Lonchura striata: one gene and its partner. The protein of the gene in region 1 purifies or fractionates together with the protein of each later gene. This does not show direct contact. Links are inferred from orthologs where the notes say so. Each region holds a gene or a part of one and is shown on either strand. Other genes may lie near its edges.

What was found.
Region 2: the proteins of BAZ1B (region 1) and MYO1C purify together in Homo sapiens (affinity purification with western blotting; 3 studies listed by BioGRID, with this or other methods). This does not show direct contact. The link is inferred for Lonchura striata from reciprocal best matches to the Homo sapiens genes BAZ1B and MYO1C.

Annotation. Positions count from the first base shown.
Region 1 is NC_134622.1:847,386-857,600, reverse strand, and holds the start of BAZ1B (tyrosine-protein kinase BAZ1B), read right to left. Parts: upstream 4,083-10,215; 5' UTR 3,960-4,082; coding exon 3,847-3,959; intron 1-3,846. UniProt on the Homo sapiens protein: Atypical tyrosine-protein kinase that plays a central role in chromatin remodeling and acts as a transcription regulator. Involved in DNA damage response by phosphorylating 'Tyr-142' of histone H2AX (H2AXY142ph).
Region 2 is NC_134622.1:6,794,726-6,805,539, reverse strand, and holds the start of MYO1C (unconventional myosin-Ic), read left to right. Parts: upstream 1-5,725; 5' UTR 5,726-5,918; coding exon 5,919-5,936; intron 5,937-10,814.

The DNA of each region.
Region 1 (10,215 bases):
TTTATTCCTGTGCCTTTCCCACAAAGAACAGCATTAAAACCAAATCAAATCTTCACAGCAGACAGGAGCTTAAATACAGGAGCAGCAGTCATCTCCAGCTTCATCCAGCAATCTCTCTGCTTTCTCCCCTTAGTTTCCCCTCTGGGTATCTGTGGAATAACTGAATGACACTTTTTTCCCCTAACATTATTTCCGATATCAGTAGGGAGATTCAGGAGACTTCTCCCTATGAATGTTCCACTCCTTGTACACACCTATGAGAACAGGCTTAACTTTACCACATCAGGACTCACATTTCCCAGAAAAGCCTGGAATTTAGAAGTGACAGACAGGGTCATTCCCTGTTCAGCTCAGATCTGCCTCTTCCATGCAATTTAATTCCACCTCCAGCTGGTCAGCTCATCTAACACTAACTCTGGACACACACCTTACCTAGGGCTCCAGATTTGTCCCACCTTTGCGCTCTGCCAAGACGTCCAGGTCAGGTCCTGCTTTGAATTCCTGGGGCCAGCACAAAGTCAAAATGCAGAAGGATATTTCTGCAAAGTTTACTATAGCTCAAACTTTCCACTACATATACGCTGTTTGTCTTCTCCATTCAGACTGGAAACAAACCCAAGAAATTTCAGATCGTTCAGCAGGTCTGATCCAGAACTGCAAGTCATCATGCCTGTGGTATGCCACAATCAACCCACCTCTTTACACAGTGGGAGCCTCCAATACCAAAAATTCCCCACACAGGAATAAATAAAAAATCCTAGACACAAGCTACTTGCAAACATTGCCCACAAAGCTACAAATAACATGTATATTAAATGAAGCAACTGATTATCCACTGTGTAGGTATTAATACATCAAATCTGTTTCCATGTCACTGCAGATCACCTAATGCTGAAAGATGGCAAAATTAAAATACAAACAAAATTACAGAAGAAAAAAAGGACCTTTTTAAAGAAAGATGTTTAAAAGTTAGCAAGCTAACCACTGCACAAAACAACTGTTGACAAAATAAAAAATTTACTTCTTCCTCAATTAGTAATTTCTGGGAGAGCACTAATATCAACTCCAAGAAAGTTTTACTCTATCTGAATTGTTTGCACTTACATTAGCCAAGGAGGTAAACTTCCCAGAAATGTGGATACATTTATAAGGATGTGTGGCAAAGTTCTTCTGCAGTTGGAGAGTGTGACACAACAGTGTCTTGGTGCTGCTATCTTCCAGGCAGAGTTTGTCTGGCCAGTACCACATGTGAGGATGTGAGCAGCAGCCTTTAACCTGCCTAACTCCTCCTCTTCTCTGCACTGATACCATACAAAAGTATGAACTAAAGAAAGACAGCAGGCTTTTTATTCAGACAAGAGACAATAGAACTTCCCAAAACTGGAAGCTGAGGGAAAACTTTGGCTGGAAGAGCCCAGGGTAGCTGAGCTCTCTGAACCCAGCATACCTCCTGATCTGGCAGCAGTTTTCCAAGCTATGCTGCAGCAGACCTACATGCCCACAGCTGAGCTGACTGTTCTCCAGGGTACACACTGGGTATTTGGGAGACTGCAAATGTTCAGCATCTACTGCAATGCTGACAGCACTGTACAAGTGCAAAACATTTTCCCGACACTTCAGGTAGCTCAGAGCACACCCCACTGAGCTCCTGCAGGGATGAGTCTATCCCTGGCTATGATCTGTCATCCCCACACCCATACGATTAGCAAGACCCAAGGCTTTGCCAGAATGCAAAGGGTTCTACACAGCAGGACTTCTCTTTTAAGGTTTTTGCAGGATTTGGCAGTCACAGGAAACAGCATAAAGCTACAAAGGAAAAAGAGGCCAACCAAACACCTGAACGCTGCTGACCAGCTTATTCCATTCCCATTGCTGCCAAACACTTCCACAACACATATCCAAGAGGAAGATGTCTCTCCTCATGCACACCAGCACAGTCTCCATTTTTTGTGTGACCCAACCTGCAACAGCTGCAAATCTTAACAATAAAAAAAAAGCTTTAAGAAACGTTGGTGTCCTTCAAATGCCTCACTTGTAGCTGTGTAGTACAAGAACTTATATACAGTCTCTAGGGGAAGAGCTGATGAATGATTTTTAAAGATAGAAAACAATTCAGGAGAATATATTCTGTCAGGTCTTGGCATAAATAACACTGGGTGAAAACTCAGGTACCGCCGGGCATGCTCTCAGTAGGCCCCTCCCATCTTCCAGAGCCACTCCTCAGCACTATCTAGGATAAATGGAAGTGACCAAAAAAACCCTCCAAGTCTTCCTTGAGCAACATCTCCCTGCAGCTCAATGGCTCATTTGCAATTTTCTGTTCCACTTTTGGCCTAGCATATATTATACACCATAAGGCAAAGCAGAAACCAAACATTGCTTGGTTTCTCTTTTTAGCCTCATGACATCTGCCTGCCAAGATGAACTTTCTGGAACATGCAAGGCTGCCTCCCACAGCACCGCGTTAAATACTTCCTCCAAGAAAAGAGCATCTCTCCAGAACCTCAACAGCTCGTCTTGGTTTCTTCTTTCCTTCTAATCCTACAGCTAACACCCTCCCCCTCTCAGGAGGAGACACTTTATTCTCCCCTTAATTTTAATACGACCCAAGCATTTGCAGAAACATGTCCTCCACCTACTCACTATATCCACAAGAGCCACCCCAAAAAAATGGTGCTCTCAGGAGCCTCAGAACTCCCCTGTGCTGTTCCAACAAGGCAGATGGCCCTTAAAGCCAAGTCTTCTTTTATAAAAGTAGTATTTAGGCTTAAACTTATCTTTTTGATCACTGATCACTCCTCTAAGGGAAAGAGAAAGAACTGCCTGGTCAGGTGGATGACTTAGCTACTTTCAGTTTGCACACACCAGAAGAGCAGGTTGGTATCACACACTGCATGTTTTAATTTGAAACACAGTTAAAAAGCAAGTCTCCAACACTCCACCTAATCTTGTTTCACTGGAGTGAATGCATTAACAATGCCTACCTGCACTCAAGAGATGCATTTCCTCTTCAAAAGCCACCTAATCCTTCCTAGGGGCTTCCTCTGCCTGTTCTGTTCACTGCAGAAACAAGACATTCTTCAACACAGGGGCTATGGAAGTTCTGGAGCCCCTTGTCTTCCAACACCTCCTTCCTATATTCACGCATTACCTCTCACTTAGAGCCCTTCTTTAGTTCTCAACTCAGATCCTGATTTCTAGAGCACAAACACCAAGCCGGCCTTCTGAAGCAGCAAGTCTGCACGTTACAGCGCCGAGGTCCTGCCCCTTCAACCCTACTGCGGCCCCGGACAGAAACTCTGCCACCGCGCAGCTCTGTCAGTCACCAGCCTGGCCAAGGGCCATTTCCTGCGACCAAGGGCTGTCACACGCAGGGAAAAAAAAAAAAAAAAAAATTAAAAATTGGTTTTTAGGCAAAAGCAGCCCAGGAAGAGATACGCTCAGAACGAAAGCCCGGGATGTACGCAGCGAGAGCTCCTGCCGCTGTCTAATTTTCCAGAGATTAAGAACTGCGGAAGTCTCCGGCACCAGTGTGCACCTGGCCCGCGGGACCCCAGTATCCACACCCGCTCCAGGAGTGCGTGAATTGCTCTCATAGCCCGCTTTGACCGTCCCCGTTAGCTCCGCTCCCCGCCCGCTCCAGCCCCGCGGAGTTGCTGTCCCACATCCCCCGCCCGCTTGTAACAGGCTCAGAACTCCTCACGGAACAACGACCCCGCCGAGTCCAGGGTAGCGCCCGCTGCGCTCTCCTCACGGTCCCGCTCCCCGCTCGATCCCACCACCGCTTTGTTCGGCTCCACCGCCCCAGGACCCGCCCCGAACCCCGCGCCCCGGTGTGGCGGATACTCGCGGGTGCGGAAGGCCTCCTGCGTGTGGGGAATGACGAACAGCTCGCCCGGCTCCCCCGGCGGCAATGGCTTGGCCAGCGGGAATGGTTTGCGGCCGAGTAGCGGCGCCATAGTGGTACCCGGTGGGGCCCGGGAGGGACGGTTGAAAAATGGCGGGAGATTCCGCTCCCCCTTACAGCAGGCGGCGGGATCGGCCCCGCGCGCGCGCCCCGACCCTGCCGCCCCGCCCCGCAGCACCCGCCCCCTGCGTCGCGGCGCCGGCAGCCTATTGGCTAGGCGCCCACTCTGCCGGCTGCAGATTGGCCGCACAGCCGGTCGATCGTACCGCCCCGCCCCACCCCGCTGGCGCGGCGGGGTAAGAGGTCGCGTTATATAAGCGGCGGCGCAGCGCGCGGCTCCATTTTGTAGGCCTCCGTTATCCGCCCTCCCGCCCACTGTCGCGCAGCGACCAATCAGAGCGCACTCCGCCCCCTCCAACCCCGTGACTACCAATCAGAGTGCGTTCCGGCCACCGCCCCGCCTCGCGCCCATCCGGGTACCCCCGCGGGGCCGCGCGCCCGCGCGCCGGGCTTTGTCCTCCGCGTCTGACGCGGGGCATTGTGGGGCCGTGGGGGTTTGTGTGGCGGGCGCCGCTGCTCGCGCGGGAGGCCCTGGGCTCGGCTCCCTCCGCTCTGTGGGGACGCGGAGCGGCGGCTCCGGCGGGACGGCCTCCGGGCCGGGTGAGGTTGAAGAAGAGGCAGGAGCTGCGGGCTGGGGGCTGTTGGGACAATGGGGAGGGAGGCCCGACCCATCCCGTGGGTGCTACGCACTCCTGGGAATGGAGGAAGGATAAAAATTCGACAGTTGTGGGTTTATGGTTTTGTTTTTTCTCTATAGGAAATGTGTGGGGAGATTTCATGGCATGAACGTTTACTGGAGATTGGAGGGGCAGAAGCTCGAGCACTGCTTGCCTAAAGCAGTCAAAGCAGAAGCTGTAATCTCATAGCTGATTGGAAAGCAGATTTGTGTTTAATGTGTAAATACATTCTAGGGATCCGGGGTTTGTGCTGTTCATGGCACTGAGGATTAGGTCTGTTTTATACAGCCCTGATGTGGCTTCTTCAGGATGAGAAGCAGCAACCCTGGGAAACTGCTTAGAATCATAGGATCCCACAAGGGCTTGGGTTGGAAGGGACTGTGAAGATGATCTTGTTCCACCCCCTGCCATGGGCAGGGATTCCTTCCACTAAACCAGGTTGCTCCAAGTCCCATTCAGCCTTGCCTTGGGCACTGCCAGGGATCCAGGGGCAGCCACAGCTTCTCTGGGCAACCTGTGCCAGGGCCTCACCATTATCACAGGGAAGAATTTTTTCCCGGTATCCAGTCTAATCATGCACTGTGTCAGGCAGATGGACACTCAGAGTACCTCCTGCATGCAGAGGGCTGTTTATGCTGGGTGATTTGGCCCACATGGATGTATGAACTGGGACCAGTTCTGCTCTGGAGCAACAGAATTAATGGTGTCATTAATTTCCCTAAAAGACAGGACAGTAACTGGACCTCGCACAGTATTCTCCAGATTGTAGATGTAATAATCAGATTATTATTAGTTTACTAGATTGCTTTATAGCAATGAGGATCCCATCATTTCTGCTGGTGAAGTATTAAAATCATTTAACTTTCTTTGGGTGTACACTCATTTGATGTGTTGTGTAATTCTGGGAAGTTTGTGCTGTGAGTATCCCTGGAATACAGCAGTTGCATAATGGAACATAGAGCACAGTCTTCTGGGATCAAAAATCCAGTGCATTTTCTACAGCACTGTAAGCAGGCAGGAAAGAAGGGTAATGCTGCAACATAAGTGTTCACTTTTACATTATTGTTGTTGGCACTAGTAGTAGTATTCTGCAATGAAACAGGCTCCCAGTGAAGTTATGCCCCATCCCTAGAAGTGTCCAAGGCTAGGCTGGACAGGACTTGAAGCAACTTGGCCTAGTGAAAAGTGTCCCTGTCCATTATTTGGATGTAACAAGATGATGTTCAAGGTCCCTTCCAATCTATTCCATCTCATGAGTCTATGATTCTATTTCGTACCAGAACAGATAAGTAATGCCATAAATCCATCAGTGAGTTTAAGAATGGTTGTTGAGGATTCCCATTACTATAAGAGTTGCTTGAAAGCACAGTCAGTTCACAGCCAGTGAAACAGGTTATTGTGGTACTTCACATGGAGCTTGGCTTCATTCCATGTTATTTTGTCAGAAGTTAGAGTACCTGAGCTAAAATTCTACATGATGTATGTCTGCCTCTCTGGGCTGCAGGGCAAAGTGGGGAGGGGAAAGAAAACTAGAGTGTAATGAACCAAGGAAGAATGGGGTGCAGACCTGTGGAGCAGTATAATGTGGGAAGAACATGCTTAGCTGAAAGGTGGTGTTGAGGGAATATGGCCACTCTGTAGCTCTGACAATGTGGGGACACATCAGGGGTCTGACCCTGGGGGATGACAGCATGCGAGGAGGGGGGCAGCAGGCACAGGGCTAGTCCTTGGACAGGGAGAAGCCTCAGGGGAGATGCAGGCAGGGCAGGGAGCTGAGGGAGGCAGGACCACAGGGAGGGATGGGAGGGTGAGTTACCTGTCCCTGCACACCCATCGTGGAGCCATGTGCCTGTTCCTCCATAGCAAGCCATTGGGATCTGGGGCATGGCAACCCTTCAGTGCTGATACAGGACTGGTAAAGGTCTGGTGTCCCGCAGTCATTTTTCAGGCTGGGAAATTGTGTGTAGTTCCTGGCACAGGTTAATCATGCACTGACTAGAGAGCTGTTCATTTACCCTGCAGCTGCTTGCTGAGGCACACAAAGGTTGGGTTTCTCTTCATGGGTGGTACCTGCCCATTGCAGCAGCTTCTTAGCCTCAGGAGCACCGAGTTATTCCAGGATGGTTTTCCAAGGCAGTTGTATACTGTCTCCCAGTGCCCAGGAGATGGCACTCCTGCATTTGGACTGTGTGCAGCTGTTCTCCAGACACCAGAGGTTGCCTGAAGAGGAGAATCCCATCGTGGGATGCCTGTTTGCTGGGGAGGGAAGTGGCCACATTTGCAGTGTCTGGTGATCTCTCCTGTTCTGGGCAATACCAAAGCTGGGGTGGTGAGCTGTGAGAACAGTCTCTGCCAACCAGGCAGGCATTCCTGGATGCATATCGATGCCACAAACTCCAGCAATGGGTTGGTGTCACTGTCAAGTAGTTACCACCATAGAGGACCTGAAGGTGTGAGGTCCATGCAGCTGCAGCTCCTTCAGGTGTGAAAGCCAGATGAAAGCATCCTTGTGAGGATGGTGCCCACTGTCATGAAGCCTTACTACTGGCTGCCTCTTCTCAGCCACAGCTGGTGCCTTTAGCATTCCAGCAGGGAGCACATGATGGAAATCATGATTTGACCCCCCGCACTGCTCTTCACTTATAGCCCTTAACTGCTCTTGCCCTTCCCCTCAATCCCCATCTTCCCTTGCCTTCACCAGCAGTGTACATAGAGAAAATTAAAGCACTTGGACTCACTTGAAATCAGCTTCCACTTGTGTTAAACAGTGGTGGAACTCAGTGCATTTATCTGAGCAAATGAGTTGAATACAGGTTGGAGGTTAAGCTGTGTCCCTGGGGATGTTCTCAGATTTTCCCTCTTCAGAAACAAAAGCAGATTTGCAAGTCTCATACATGTGTGTTTAGAGAGTGAGATTGAGTTGGTGACCCAGAGGAGTGAGGAGCTGGTGAGTGGTGGGAGAGGTGACACAGGGGTGACAGGGGTCTGTCCAGGCTGGCCATGCTGCTGGTCTGACTCTTGCCCAGGGTTGCCTGCCCTTAGGGCACCTGAGGAGGTACTGCATTGATGCTGTTCCTAGCAGCTTCCAAACACACTTGGAGGCATTTGACCTGGTGGTTTGCAAAGCCCCTTCTCTGGGTCATGGACTTCCTCTGTACTGACATAGGAGGAAGTCAATGTGCCTAATCTCTGGGCACAGTGTCCTGCTGATCTGTCAGCTGTTCTTATGATCTGTGCTTGAAAACTTTTATCTTGTGTTCCTACACCTTCAAGCAATTTCTCAATTTCCCCATCCTTCCCATGGCAATCTGGACTTCCCAGTTATTGCTCCTCTGGGTTCTGAACCAGCAGAAGCCAACTCTGCCCCAAGTGCTCCAAGGTCAGTTTGATCCTAAATGTGATTTTGGTCATGTGGGTCTTAACATGCCTCTCCCCTCACCCCAGGTAGCTGCCAGGATCCAAAATCAGGGTTTGCTCTCATCCTGGTGCCTGCTGGACTACACAACACTAGACTCGGTGCCAGCTGTCTGGACATTGTGCTGGCAAGGGCCTTAAATAACACAGGACTTGGGAGCAGGACACAATTGTGAGTGGGTGGCCAAGGCTGCCACCCTGCTGTCCCCATTGATGCTCCCCAGAGGGGAGCTCCCACAGGGCTTTGCATTGGGAGCTGCAAGCAACCTTGTGTCTTTCAGAGAAAAAGGAAATAGCTGATTAATCCTGGAGGAGCTGGAAGAGCCAGAAAAAGGGGACTTAAGGGAGGATTTAGTTAGAAATGGCCCAGATACATCAAACTATCTCCTGCAGAAAGCCATACCCCATTACTGCTTCTATATACGGGACAGCTTACGGTACTTACTCTATTAGGAGCCTGGTGATGCTTTGATATATTCCCAGGAGACTGTGATAAAATTTCTGACACTATTTTCCTTGGCTGATTTCAGTCAATCACTTCCAATGGAACTGCCTGCCTGCCTGATACTGAGGTGACATTATGCCCTTGCCAGGCAGGCAGGCTCCTGGAGAGGTGGGCAGAGCAGCACCCGAGGAGCTCCCAGGTGTGGGAAAACAATAGGCTTATAGAGAATGTCCCCAAACATCCCCAGCATCACTGACCTTCTCCCAGTGAGGCAGTGAGCGCTGCCCAGCTTCTGGCTCATAGTACACACAAAAGATGCAGATTCTATGAGACATCTGCAGATGCTCTTTGCTGCTGGTGATGACATCCCAGGTGTGTCTGAGTCAACTCTCCTGCTCCAGCCTGGAGTTAATCCAGGTGTTTGATGTAATCTTGTTCCTTTCTAACATCAGTGAACATTTGAATTGGACCAAAAGGCTCTGGCTTTACTCCATACATGTGAGCCTGAAGCATGTTTCTTGGCTGGTGGTCTTGCTCAGACAGTACATGGCCATCCCAGGTGCAAATATGCATCCTTATATATTTTTGGTCACAAAATCTTTCACTATCAGAGCCTGTCCTAGTTTAGGGAAAATCTGGGAGGAAACTTCCAAAGGGTTCCCTCTAGAAAGTATATTCAAGCAGCCCCTCCCCCTACTGGTTTGGGAAAAGATTTCCTAGGAGAAAAGTGGAAAAAACCCTGTTTCTTTAACAAGCAAAGCATTCACAAACATGAAAAAAATAATAATATTAAACAACAAAACCTCTTGCTGTTCTGAAGAGATGGCAAATGTAAAGTTGTGTTTGCACTGTATATCCCCTCATAATGCTTTGTCCCTCCATATCCCCTCTTTGTACCTGTTTGGTTCATCCCAGTTTCCCCATCAGTACCTGTATGTCCATCAAACCCCAACCCATCCCCCTGTCTCCTCCCAGGTGATGTGTCCATCACCTGGTGACCCTTCCCCTTTGTCCAGATCCTTCCCCCAGGGTCACCAGGTAGCTGGACCCTGGCTGGGACTCCTCCCCGACCCCCTTGCTCAGTGGTCACTCTGAGGCCTTGCCCCCCGAGAGCCGCTCCCATGTCCTTCCCCTGCTGGCTGTTCGGTTTTCCCCGCACCCCTATACCTGGCTGCTCTGGGCGGGGCCCGCTCTCTCTTGCTCTGGAGGTCCTTCGAAGCCAGATGTGGCCTGGGATCTCTCCAGGCCCTCATTAAACTTTGGAACTAATCCTGAGGGAGAGCACCTCTTTCCTTTGCTTTTGGGACCAGCTCATCTTTGGACTCACGTGGGAGCTTCTCCAAGTACCCTGGGATCCAAGGAGAAGTTCCTTCCCTCTGCCTGCGTCACCCCACTGCCCAGCTGGCCGGGCTCCACAGGGGTTCTATCCCCGTGGATTCGAGGGGGAGACACAGCAGGCAAATTCAGAAATTCCTTCTCTGGTGTAGCTCTGTTTGCTCAGTCTCTTATCAGTTCCTCCTGCAGTGGAAGATGCCACGTCCTGGCCCTGGTGGGCCACAGGTGTGAGCTCCCAGTGTTCTTCTGGGTTTTTAGTCCAGAGTAGTGCTGATCAGTTCCAAGAAAAAGAAAAGGCAAAGTCTGGGGAACTTCTCTGCCTTAGCTAGCTAAAAAAAAAAGTAAAAGGAGAGCTCTCTCCTGCTGTCTGTCCATGC
Region 2 (10,814 bases), about 5.9 Mb from region 1:
GTTGCCTGGAGCTGCTGAAACTCATGGCCTAGGAGACATTAATTCCTGCAGTTTTGTGGGAACGCTGCAAAAAATGAACTTATATGGGTACCCAATGTCTTTGCTTGTCTTGTTTGAACCAAGATGAGTTAGAGAACTGTCCAGTTCATAAAACATTTGTGCTCCATGGATCTGCAGCCCAGGAAGGGGAGCTCTCAGCCTGCCCTCTGCATCAGCACTGCCCCTGTTGTGCTTTAGGGCATGGCTGTGTCTTTTCCTGCCCTTTCCCAATAGGAGACGTGCTCAGCTTTGCTTTGCAAGTGTTATTTTGTAGATTTTAAAGTCTATTCAGTCTTTCTCCTGCCATGGAGAAAAGCAAGGGCATTACAGAAGGACAGAGCAGCTCTAATTTGTCCATTTAGTTGCTATTTTGGGCTGTAGGACTGCACTCTGCTCAGCAGAGGAGTCCCAGGTTAAACTTTGCCCCTCTGTGAGGAGGGGAGCCCTGGCTGTGCTGCCTTCCCCTGATGTGTGAGCAGGCTGGTGTGTCCTCCTCAGGATTCCTGTACATCCTTCTCCTCCAGACTGCAAACAGTTTAGTGCTGATCTGGCCTTATATAGTAATTTCCTATTATTAGAAACATTTCCTTGGGATCTTGCTCAGGGAGTAGCAGAGGGAAATCCTGTTTCCTTCATCTAACTTGCAGGCAAAGCACCAGTGCTCACTCTTTCCTTATCTCGTGTGGATGGAACAAGAAGTTTTTGTTGTGATCTGCTTTCCAGCCGTAAGCCCTTTCTAACACTGAGCCTCTTTTCAGAAATGCAGGAAAAGAAATGTGAAGGAATAGGAACTGTCAGTCAGCAGTGTGAGCTGTAAAGTTTTGCCTGCAGCCTGTACATTCTCTGTTCTTTTTCATCATGTTTTCCTCATTCAGATTGAGTCCTTCCTTTGGAAAACCAACTCTCTGTTGAGTGCTGGTTTGTGTGAAAAGCAGTGTGCTAGGATGTTTCACCTGAGAGTGCCAGGGATGGGCAGACAGCCAATGGCTGTGTTAAAAAAGAGGAACAACTTTAAATTAAGGAAGGAGAAGTTTTTGTTCTGCGTGCAGCTAGGATGTGTTTTTAAAGGCGAGACTCGCTGGAAGCACCAAGATATGCACAGGCTTTGAACACTTAATTTTTCCTGTGAAAACATTTTTTCCCCTTAAAAGGAAGATGTAGGTCCTGCCACTAGGAGTGACTGTTTGGAAAGTCAGTCTGCAGGAATGCACATCAGCTGAACTGAGTCAGGCTGTTTGTGTTACCAGCTCCCTCCAAACCCGTCCCTGCCACAACTGCTGCAAATGATTGTGTCAGAGCAGGGCCACAGCAATCACAGGGAATTAACTGCTGGTTTAAACTTTGTTGTTGGAGTCAGTGCAACAATTGCTGTTGAGATTGGAGTGTGTTTGTAAAATCAGGGAAACCCTGACAGGGCCATGAGCGGGAGCAGCCACGGGCATGAGACAAACTGGCATCACATTAAGGGCATCTGGTAATTATAAAGTGGGACTTTGTTCTGATGGCCACTGTCAAAGCCAGCCAGCCATTTCTGTTTCACTGCTTCAGCAGAAAGCAACAACAAGGAAAATTTATCTTAATTTGTTAGATTAACCCAGTTTCTGTTTTCGCTCACGTCATAGACCCAGAATTATTGTGTGTGTGCGGGAGCCATAACTAAATGCAAGCCTGTCATATGTGCTTTTTAATCCATCACCAGGGGCATCAAAACAGGGAACAGCAGTGGCAGAGATAGTGCAGGAATCCAAGGAGACATGTGCATCTACGTTTTTTGCAGTATTCCTCTTTTTTTTTTTTTGTATTTATTTGTGAAAAACTGAGCTTGGGAAGAAAAGAAGTTTGGTGTTCTCACTGATGAAGCTTTCTTGAAACAAACAAAACCAGTATTGACAGTTTTAAACATTACAAAGCATAAATTAGAATCCAAAAGAATAATCTAAATATTCTTTGTCTTCTGGTTTTTGAACCCTTTTGGCCACACCTCACTATTTTTAAGGTTTTGTCTTTAACCCTGCAAACACCTTCATACAGAATTGGGGAATTCAGTCAGCTTTTGATGTCATGAAGTTTGCAGTAAAGTGAAGGAACTTTCACCATCTTGAGGCACCTTTTGAGTGAGTATAATGAGCTTTTGGTTTAACCTTTCTAGGTGTGCAGTTTCATAACTGAGCAGGAATGTTGTGTCTCCAGGGGCCAATGTCTTGTGTTCAAACCTCTGCTCATGGTTACTTGTTTGGAGCACTCTTGAGAGGGGAAGAGGAGATGTTTTAATCCAAAAACTGGGTAGAAAAGAGACAATTCTTAGCAGAACTAATAATGTAATGAGTAGGTTTTGCCTTTTTATCAAACCTGTTAAATATTTAGCATTGCCTCTTTGGCAGGGTGTTGATTTATCCTTATCCTGCAGTCAGATGTTCATCCTCTGTTGGACACAAGGTGTTTTTCCTAAGCAGTGGGACAAATGTTCCTCAAAACCTTCAGCTTCTGCTATAGGGTGTTTTAAGAATGTGAGGCATTTTAATCAGTTTTAGATCAGGATAATCTGGACAGCAGGACACGTATGACAGGTTAAAGACATTTCTATTTTTTGATTAAGATGTTCCTCTGACCTGCAAGAGGAAGGGCTCTCAAATTCCTGGCCTGTTTAGGGTGGTTTCTTTCCCATGGTATTTTTGCCAAGTGCTTTCTAATTATGGAATGTGTCTTATTCTGTAGTTCTTTTGTAAGGCAGTAATAACAAATATAAAAATCCAGAAAGAACTCACTCACTGATGATGAACTTGACGCCTTTTGGAATAACACAGATGTGATCCACGTTGATTTTTGAACAGCATAAACCCAAGGCAGCATCTCATACCTCCAGATTTATATTTGCAGTGGAATCTACACTGCAGAGGGGAACACTGATGGTGTTTTCGTGGGGCCAAACTCTTTATTTTTTCAGCAGAGCCACTGCTTGTGGGTGTAGCTGAGCGAGTCACGCTCGGCTCTGCGAGCCTGTCAGAGCAGGGCTGACAGGAAAGGTTTCCAGTCCCCTTGCTTTGAATGTGAAATTGTATGCAGGGAATCAGCTGCTTATCTGCAACGAGCAGAGCAATCCCTGTGCTCTAATCCAGGGTTTAAATGAGTCACTTCTAGCTGGCGAGGCCTGGAAAACTTGATTCATCCCTCAGCCTGTAGTTGCCTGTTGGAGTGAGCCAGACCTTGCCAGCCATCCTCAGCAGAAATCACAGACAAGGGCTGGGCTCTGCTGCTGGAAAGGAAGAGTCTGGTTTTATCACCTTCATAATCCAGTATCAAGATCTTACAGAGTAAAATGATCTCTCTGCTTTCCTACGTTTTTCCCTCCCTCTCCTAATTTAGGCTAATCCACATGCAGGAGTGTTTTCCTCGCCAGCAGAAGTTGGGCAGTAGTTTGGCTGCAGAAAAAAGCATTTTGAGTAAAGGTCTTTCCAGTGGATAAATAAATAAAAGGGTTCTCCTGCATGAAAAAACCAAGGGAAATATGTAAAAAATGTACTTCTAAGTACTGGGTTGTTGTATATTCTTCTCTTATGTGGCATTTTCAGTGATGGGATGTGATCTGAGAAGTGTTAGGAGGTGTTAGCTAGGGAAAAGGTTGAGTTGTTTATGTGAAGATAACTCTGCTAATACTTAGAATTATAACAGGAGTTTAACTGAACTTGTTTGGTGACAATTAGATTGGTTTGAAGAGTGGAGCACTGACATTGTCCTCCTGAAGAATTAGTGCTGTGCCAGGCCACAGCTTTAGTTATGCTTGGAAAGCTCCTGGCTCAGGGCTCACTGTTGTGTTTCACTAATGGCTGATGTGGCTCAGTTTGGGAAATGGAGTTTATATCACCTCTGGTCTCACCTGTGCACAGGACAGGGGCTTGGAGTAGTGTCCACTTCCTTCAGTGCCAGCCCAAAACTAAACCCTCCTCCGAGCCACATCCTGAAGCTGCTGCTGTTAAAAATTCACCCAGCTGAGGTAAGAAGTGAATGAAAGTCCTGCCAAACAGAGTTGTGCAAGAACCACAAATCATGTTCAAAATGGAGTCTGGGAGGGCAGAGGAGCTGTGGCACTGCAGAGCTCCCAGCAGCCCAGCTCCATCCCAAATCCTTGGCACAGTCTGCCTGTGACATCCACAGCAGCCAGGATCTTTGGGATCTCTGCCTTGGGCAAAGCTAATTAGAGGGGAGTGCTGCACCCAACCACTGACAACATCTGCTACGTGTCTTTGCTTTTAAATAGCCTCCTCTCTAAGGAGGTTGAAGCCTTTTAGCCTTTTGCTCTAAATCTTTTTAATTCAGAGCTTGGCTTTACCCTTCCTGTAGCAGAATTTGTGAAGGATGCATTTTGATAAGAAGGAAAAAAACAAAGCAAACAAAAAACCCTTTTAAGCAGAGCTGAGTGCAGATAGTGCCAGTCATGAAACATCAGCAGCTGAGCTTGGGAATTATTCCATGGCTCTGCATGTTCAATAATTAGAGAATCTGCTTGACAGCTCACAATATGAATTGCCTGAAATACCTGAGGGGTGGCATCCTCTCTAACAAATTAATGTATTTATTTACACTACCTACAGCTCCTTTTAGGATAGATGCCCAGCTTAGTCCATTGAGGAACAAAATAATAGAATTATTTTAGGTTGGAAAGAATTTGTGGAGATTTCTGGTCCAACCTCACTTCCGGGCAGGACTAATTTAGATCAAGTCACTCAGTCATTGTCTGGTTGAGTTTTAAATATCTCCAGTGATAGTTTCACAACCTTTTGGGACCCCTGTTCCAGTATTTCACAGCACTCACTGGGGAAAAAAATTTCCCAATAACTCATTGGAATTTCCCTTCTTCCAGCTAATGTCCACCGTCTCTTATTCTTTCACTTTTCCCTAATGCTGGTAAAGGCTGTGCAGTATTTTTGTTAGAATGCCCTTATCTCAGGCAGGTGGGTGGGAAATGAGGTGGGGTTTTCACACTCTTGGTGTAGCTGTGATCACAAATAATTCTGTGTGAGAACAGATGAGCTCAGAGACAGCAAAATGTGCAACTTCTCTTTGCAAGGGCTGGGGACTGAGGGCAGCAGTGCCTTCACTGTGTCCTCTAGAAAGCTCTTCCTTGGGTAGTGCAGGTTGTTTTGTAATAAAGACCTCAGAACTTCCAGGTAAAGTGGGGAGTTTGGTGCTGGATGGCTCCAAAGGAATCTGGAATAAAATACTGCTGAGCCAGGTAGGACAGGGCTTGGTGGAATTGGAAATAAGTGAAATTTAAGGTCCCTTCCAATCCAAACCATTCTGTGATTCTAAATCCTTGTGAAGGCAAACTGCATCCAACCCTGGACTCCTTGTGGCCCTGTGATTTCCTGAGGGGGTGATTCCAAGTGTACTGTCAGTGCCAGGGTTGGGATTGGGTGTTTGTTGTGTTTGGGGTGAGCTGGGAGCGGGTTTGGGGAGCCCTGCCCACGCTGCTGTTCCAGGACAGTAACCCAGTGTCCCAGAGCTCGTCTCTTCCTGTCTGATGGCTGTGGTTTGTGTGCTGGGCTCGGCCCCAGCTTTTCCAGTGCCTGGGATTACTTTTCTTTCCGTTTTTCCCTGTCACTGGGCAGCGGGAACTCCGCGGCAGAGCGCAGCTGATTTCCCTGGGACTGCCTCTGCTGGGCCGCTCCTGGCTGGGAGGGAGTTCTCCTTGGAAAACGCCCTCTCCACATGCTCCAGTAGGAGCTGGTGGGAGGGAGGGAGTTCTGACTGCACTGAAAATGCCATGAAAAAAAAAAAAATTAAAAAAATAAAGGAACTGACAGAAGAGAGAAGTTGTCTTCAGATTGCTGCTTTTTGCAGCGGCGTAAGCGAAGGCTCTGCGAGGGCTGCAGGAGGCAGAGATGAAGTTCCGAGGCGGGGTAAGGTTTATTTAACTCCTCTGGTGGCTTTGCAGCTCTCAGATGCCTGTCTGGTCTCAGAAGAAGAGAGGAGGCTTTCAGCAGGGAAGTGAAATGCTTTGAGAAGGATCTTTCATTTAAAAGTTGTGTGAAAAGGGGTAAATTGAGCTAAAAACTCAGAGAATACCTGTTGGGAGGAGGAAGGCAAGGTGGGAGTTGAGAAAGTGGGAAGAGAGGAGAGAGCTGGGCTCTGCTTTAGGAGGGAAGAAAGGGTGGAGCTTTCACTTGGGCACAAGGATGTGAAAGGACCGTCCTGGAGCTGGGCTCTGCTCTTCTCCTTCCCAGGGCTCCTGTCCAATTCCTGCCATCCTAGGGAATGGCAGGAAGTACCTGCTTAAGGATTCATTGCCACTCAGCTTCTCCAGGCTGTTTTAGTTTAGGAAAACTTTGTCCATGCTTTAGCAGCAGCCAGAACACCTGGCCCTGCATCCTGCATGGGACAACCCTGGGCTTGGGAAAAGGATTTTGTGGCAAAAGATTGACAGGACTGGGATTATTACCTGGAAAAAAAGATGAGGACAAGAGGAGGAAAAAAAAAAATAACAGTGCCACAGAAAACACAGAACTCCTTTTTCTGTGTTGTGTAGCATGGGAACAGGGACACTGAATTAAGCTAAAAGTTGCCAAAGAGATGCAAAGATTATTTTCATACAGTGAATAATTGGGCCATGGAATTCACTGACTCTGGAAGATGCTGAGGTCAAGAATGAGGGAGTGTTATAAAAAAAGTGTGTGGGCTTTTGCCTGGATAAGAATGCTCAAGGCTTTAATTGGTAAAGTGACCAAATTTAGGAAGAGAAGAGTTGAAAACGTCGTTTCTGTAGATTGGAGCAATTCTGTGTTAAAGAAGAGTTACCATGGGGCTGGTGTGTCCCATACCTGCTCAATCCAGAGATCCTTGCTTGTTTTCCCAAATATTCTAGTGCTGACCACTGAGAAAATGATGAAGGGCAGGGCAGAGCTTTTGGAGACCCTCCTCTGTGGAAGTGGAGGTGCCAGGGCTCCACAGGCTGTTTCTGCTGGTATCTGGTGTGCTGGGGCCAGCCCCCGTGCCCAGCTGTGGGCTGGAGGAAGGCTGGCAGAGGTGGCAGTGGGATGGGCAGAGGTGGTGCCCGGGGTGGTGCCCAGTTCCCCGCGGGAGCTGTGGGGTGGAGGTGCCCTTCGCGTGGCCCCGGAATGCTCTGGAGCTCTCTTTGGAAAGTTTGAGTCTCTGAGAGAGCTCGTGGTGTGAGAGGGCTCTGTGGGGGTGTGGAATGCAGTGGGGAAGGGAAGGGCTGCCAGTGGGACACAGGGCATCGCCAGGGCACGGGGCACAGGCAGTGCCCCAAAGCTGCCAGGGGCACAGGCAGACCCTGGCTCTTTATGTCTGAGCTTCTGCCACCCTTCACCTGCTCAGCTGCTCTGGAAATCAGCACCAAAACTCATTGGAAAGGGCAGCAAGTTGATGTTTTGCCTTTTTTAAATGCCTTTTTGAAATCTGTTTGTCCTCTGAAGCTGCTGTGGGATGCCCAGGCCTGTGGGCACAGGTCTCCTGAGCAAACTGCCACCAGCAACATCTTTGAACCAGCAGCAGCTTGTGCCATCTGTTCAGGAGCAAAAATGTCAGCTCCCTAAATATAGAAATTCTGTGTATTTACTTTTCCAGCCCTGGTGATCTTTCTTTGCCTAGTTCATTTTTCTTAGTGCTCTTTTATATTTAGCCTGTTGATTGAAATATCATTACCCCTCTTGATGGTAAACATTTTTCCTGTCCTTCAAATCAGTTCTTACAACTGCCTTTTCCTTTTCACTGCTAATTGCTTATTTCCTTACTCATCCCCCCACAAAGTAAAATCTGGAAGGTATAATTATGTTATAAATATTGAACAAATAATATTAGCTACTTATTATTTCAATTTGTCCCTACCCAAAATGTGGAAAACGTCAAAGAAATTACTTTACAAGAATTAGTCAAGGATGTAGCATTTCTTTTTCTTGAATATAATTTTTTTAATAATGTATTCTGAAGTTCCATCCTTCCATCTGGTTAGGATGGGAAGTATCAGAGGGACAACCAAGTTCTGAGTTCCCTAACTCCAGACATTCCATTGCTGGTGATGTATTGGTCTAAAATAAGCAAGAATAAAAAGTAATTCTGAGAAAAGGTCCTTGAGTGGCAGCTGCAAACTAAAGTTGTTTCCTCTAATTCTGCTGGTCTGTGTCACCAGCGTTGTTACCTGCTTTGGTCCCAATCCACCTGACAGCTCTGCTTTTCCCAAGTTGTCCTTTGGGAAATCACCTCATTTGCCTTACATAATTAAAAGCAAAACATAAAGCATTTCCTTTTGTTATTTGATTTTTTTTTTTTTTTTTAACTAAACAAGCCAAATACCTGTCTTATCAATTATTAACTGAGGTGGCTTCAGAAAGGGCAGACAAATCCACGTGGTTGCTTGCAGGGGATTTTTATGGGAGACACAGAGCTGCCTCTCAGGAAATCTTTCTTTCCAACCCAGCTGTTGACTAACCCAGGGAGCTGTGTCCAGCACGAGCAGCTGATTTGCAGTGTGGCAGGAGGGAGGAGGATCCCGAGTGGCTGCACTTCAGTCTGCCAGGGATTTGCTGGCAGATTCCCTCAGTCTGGTCCACCTCTGCCATCCTCATTATTTCTTTCTGCATGCAGAGGGAAAGAGGAGCTTTCCCATTCTGCACCTTGGGAATTGAGGCCGTGGATACAACAGTTGATTTTTGTCTGCTCTGCTGTCTGGCCCATGTTGTGTCCAAGCTCTTTCCCAGGCTGTAGAATGAAGTAGAAATCAAAGGAATTCTTTTTCTTTCCTGCAGCTTTGGCATGACAGTGAAGAATGTCCAACTATCCATGAGACAAATGTTTTTTTGCTGCCACCTCCCCACGAGAAGTTCGTTCTTGGTTCAGACTTGCATTGTCTTCCAGAATCTAATCTGAATTTCCCTTCCCACTCACATTTGGTTCTGGCCTGTTCTTCCGTTCCCGGCTTTGTGACTATTTCTGGAGCCTGCAGATCAATCATCTTGCACTTGATACCAAGATAAAGGTGCCTGCCTCTTCCCAGATGGAGCCACTTCCTGGGGTTCTTCCAGAGAATCTCCTGATGGATACAACCCAATCTGTAAAAATACATTGCCAGGAGAAAATATTGCAAGATATATTTTTAGGTGTTGAAACACAAATTCCTTTCTGAATCAGTTGTGCAGTTTCCCTGCTCCATACAAGACCATTCACTTTGAGAATTCCAGGTGTTTTCTCATGGAAAGGAGTGGGAAGTTGCTGGTGCTGCCTGTTCCCTCAGTGTGTCTGGAGTTGAGTTTTAAACCACTCCAGTACCCCTCTGGGAAAATCAAGCCTGGGAATGAGTCTTGGTGCCACATTGGGTATTCCATGGCTGTGGAGCAGCTGCTGGACAAAGCCAGGGGGAGTTTCTTGCTCTGCTCAAGCCCCTGTGCTCATGGCAGTGCTGCTCTCCCATTTTCCAGCACAAATTCCCCCAAATTTGTGCTCAGCCTGGCTGACTCTAATACTTTGGATTTTGCTGTGCAGAGCAAAAGGTCCTGTTTTTCATTTCTGAGGTGTATTAGTTCTCCATGTCCTAAGCAGAGGAAAAACTTTATCATGCTTTGGCATTCAGCAGAGTTTAAAGGAAAAATATGTGTTTACACCTTCACAATCCCTCGTCAGCGATTTCCCAGCTCAGTTTAGGAAACTCCTTGGTACAGTCTTGAGTGGTTTTGTACTCCCAGGAGCTTGGAGGTATTTGCTGGTCTTGTTGACTCTTGTATGAACACAAAGAAAAGCTGGAACTCCAGCCAATGTAAACCTGACTCTGCAGGCTGCATTCAGCAACCAATTTACACCAGCCGAAAGTCTTTCCCAAAATTCAATCCCAGGGCAGAAAAAGCCTTGTGGAAGCAGAGCAGCGCTGGTGATTGCACTGGCCTGGTCCCCACCATTCCAGAGGGACTTTTCCTTTCCTGGCCTTGAGCCACTGTTGTGCTTGAGGCTCCGGAGAAGACATTAAAAGCAAAGAGTGGGTTAAAATACAATGTGGGAACGAATCCCTGGAAACGGCACCATGGGGTGGCTTTGGGAAATTTGGCAGAAGTGAGTTTGGGCACTCTGGAGGGGAGTGACCTTCGGGACAGCAGGTTCAGCATGGGATGAAAGGGGGGATTGAGGGGAGGCACAGGCACTCCTGAGCCCGCAGGCACCAAGATCACATGCAGATTGCTCAGGTTTTTGCCATTCCCCTTTTGCAGCCTGTGCTGCGTGTGGCATTAGGTGTCTCCATCCTACAAAGGTCAGGATCCTCGGCTGCATCCTCCTTTTGATCCCATAAGGGACCTATAAGATGGAACTGCCCTAAATAACTGATTCAACGTGCTCCCCTTCCTCCTTTCCCTGCCTCTGACACTCCCAGTCTCACAGGGAGAAAACCCAGAGACAATCACCAGATTCTTTTTTTCCTGGTCTTTGCTTTGCTGATGGAGTTGCGCTGGTTTGGTTTGGGGGTGTTACCCGGTGCCAGGGAGGCAGCAAAGCCTGGAGGAGGGATTTGATGTTGAGCTTTAGGCTAAGCCCAACCTGCCTCTGAGGTGGAACTTCCCAAGCATTTTGAGGCAGCAGGAACTGGCCCTGCTGCTGAATCCTGGCTCCTCCCTGACCCTGCTGTGCTTCCCCATCACCCTGTCCCTGGCCATCCTCATTACACGTGGGACCAGTGTGGGAAAACGACCTGGATTAACACAATAAAAGAATCTGAGTTGGTTTTAATCCCTGTCAGATTTTCAGCCTGGTTTATTGCACAAATCCTGGGCCAGTGCAAA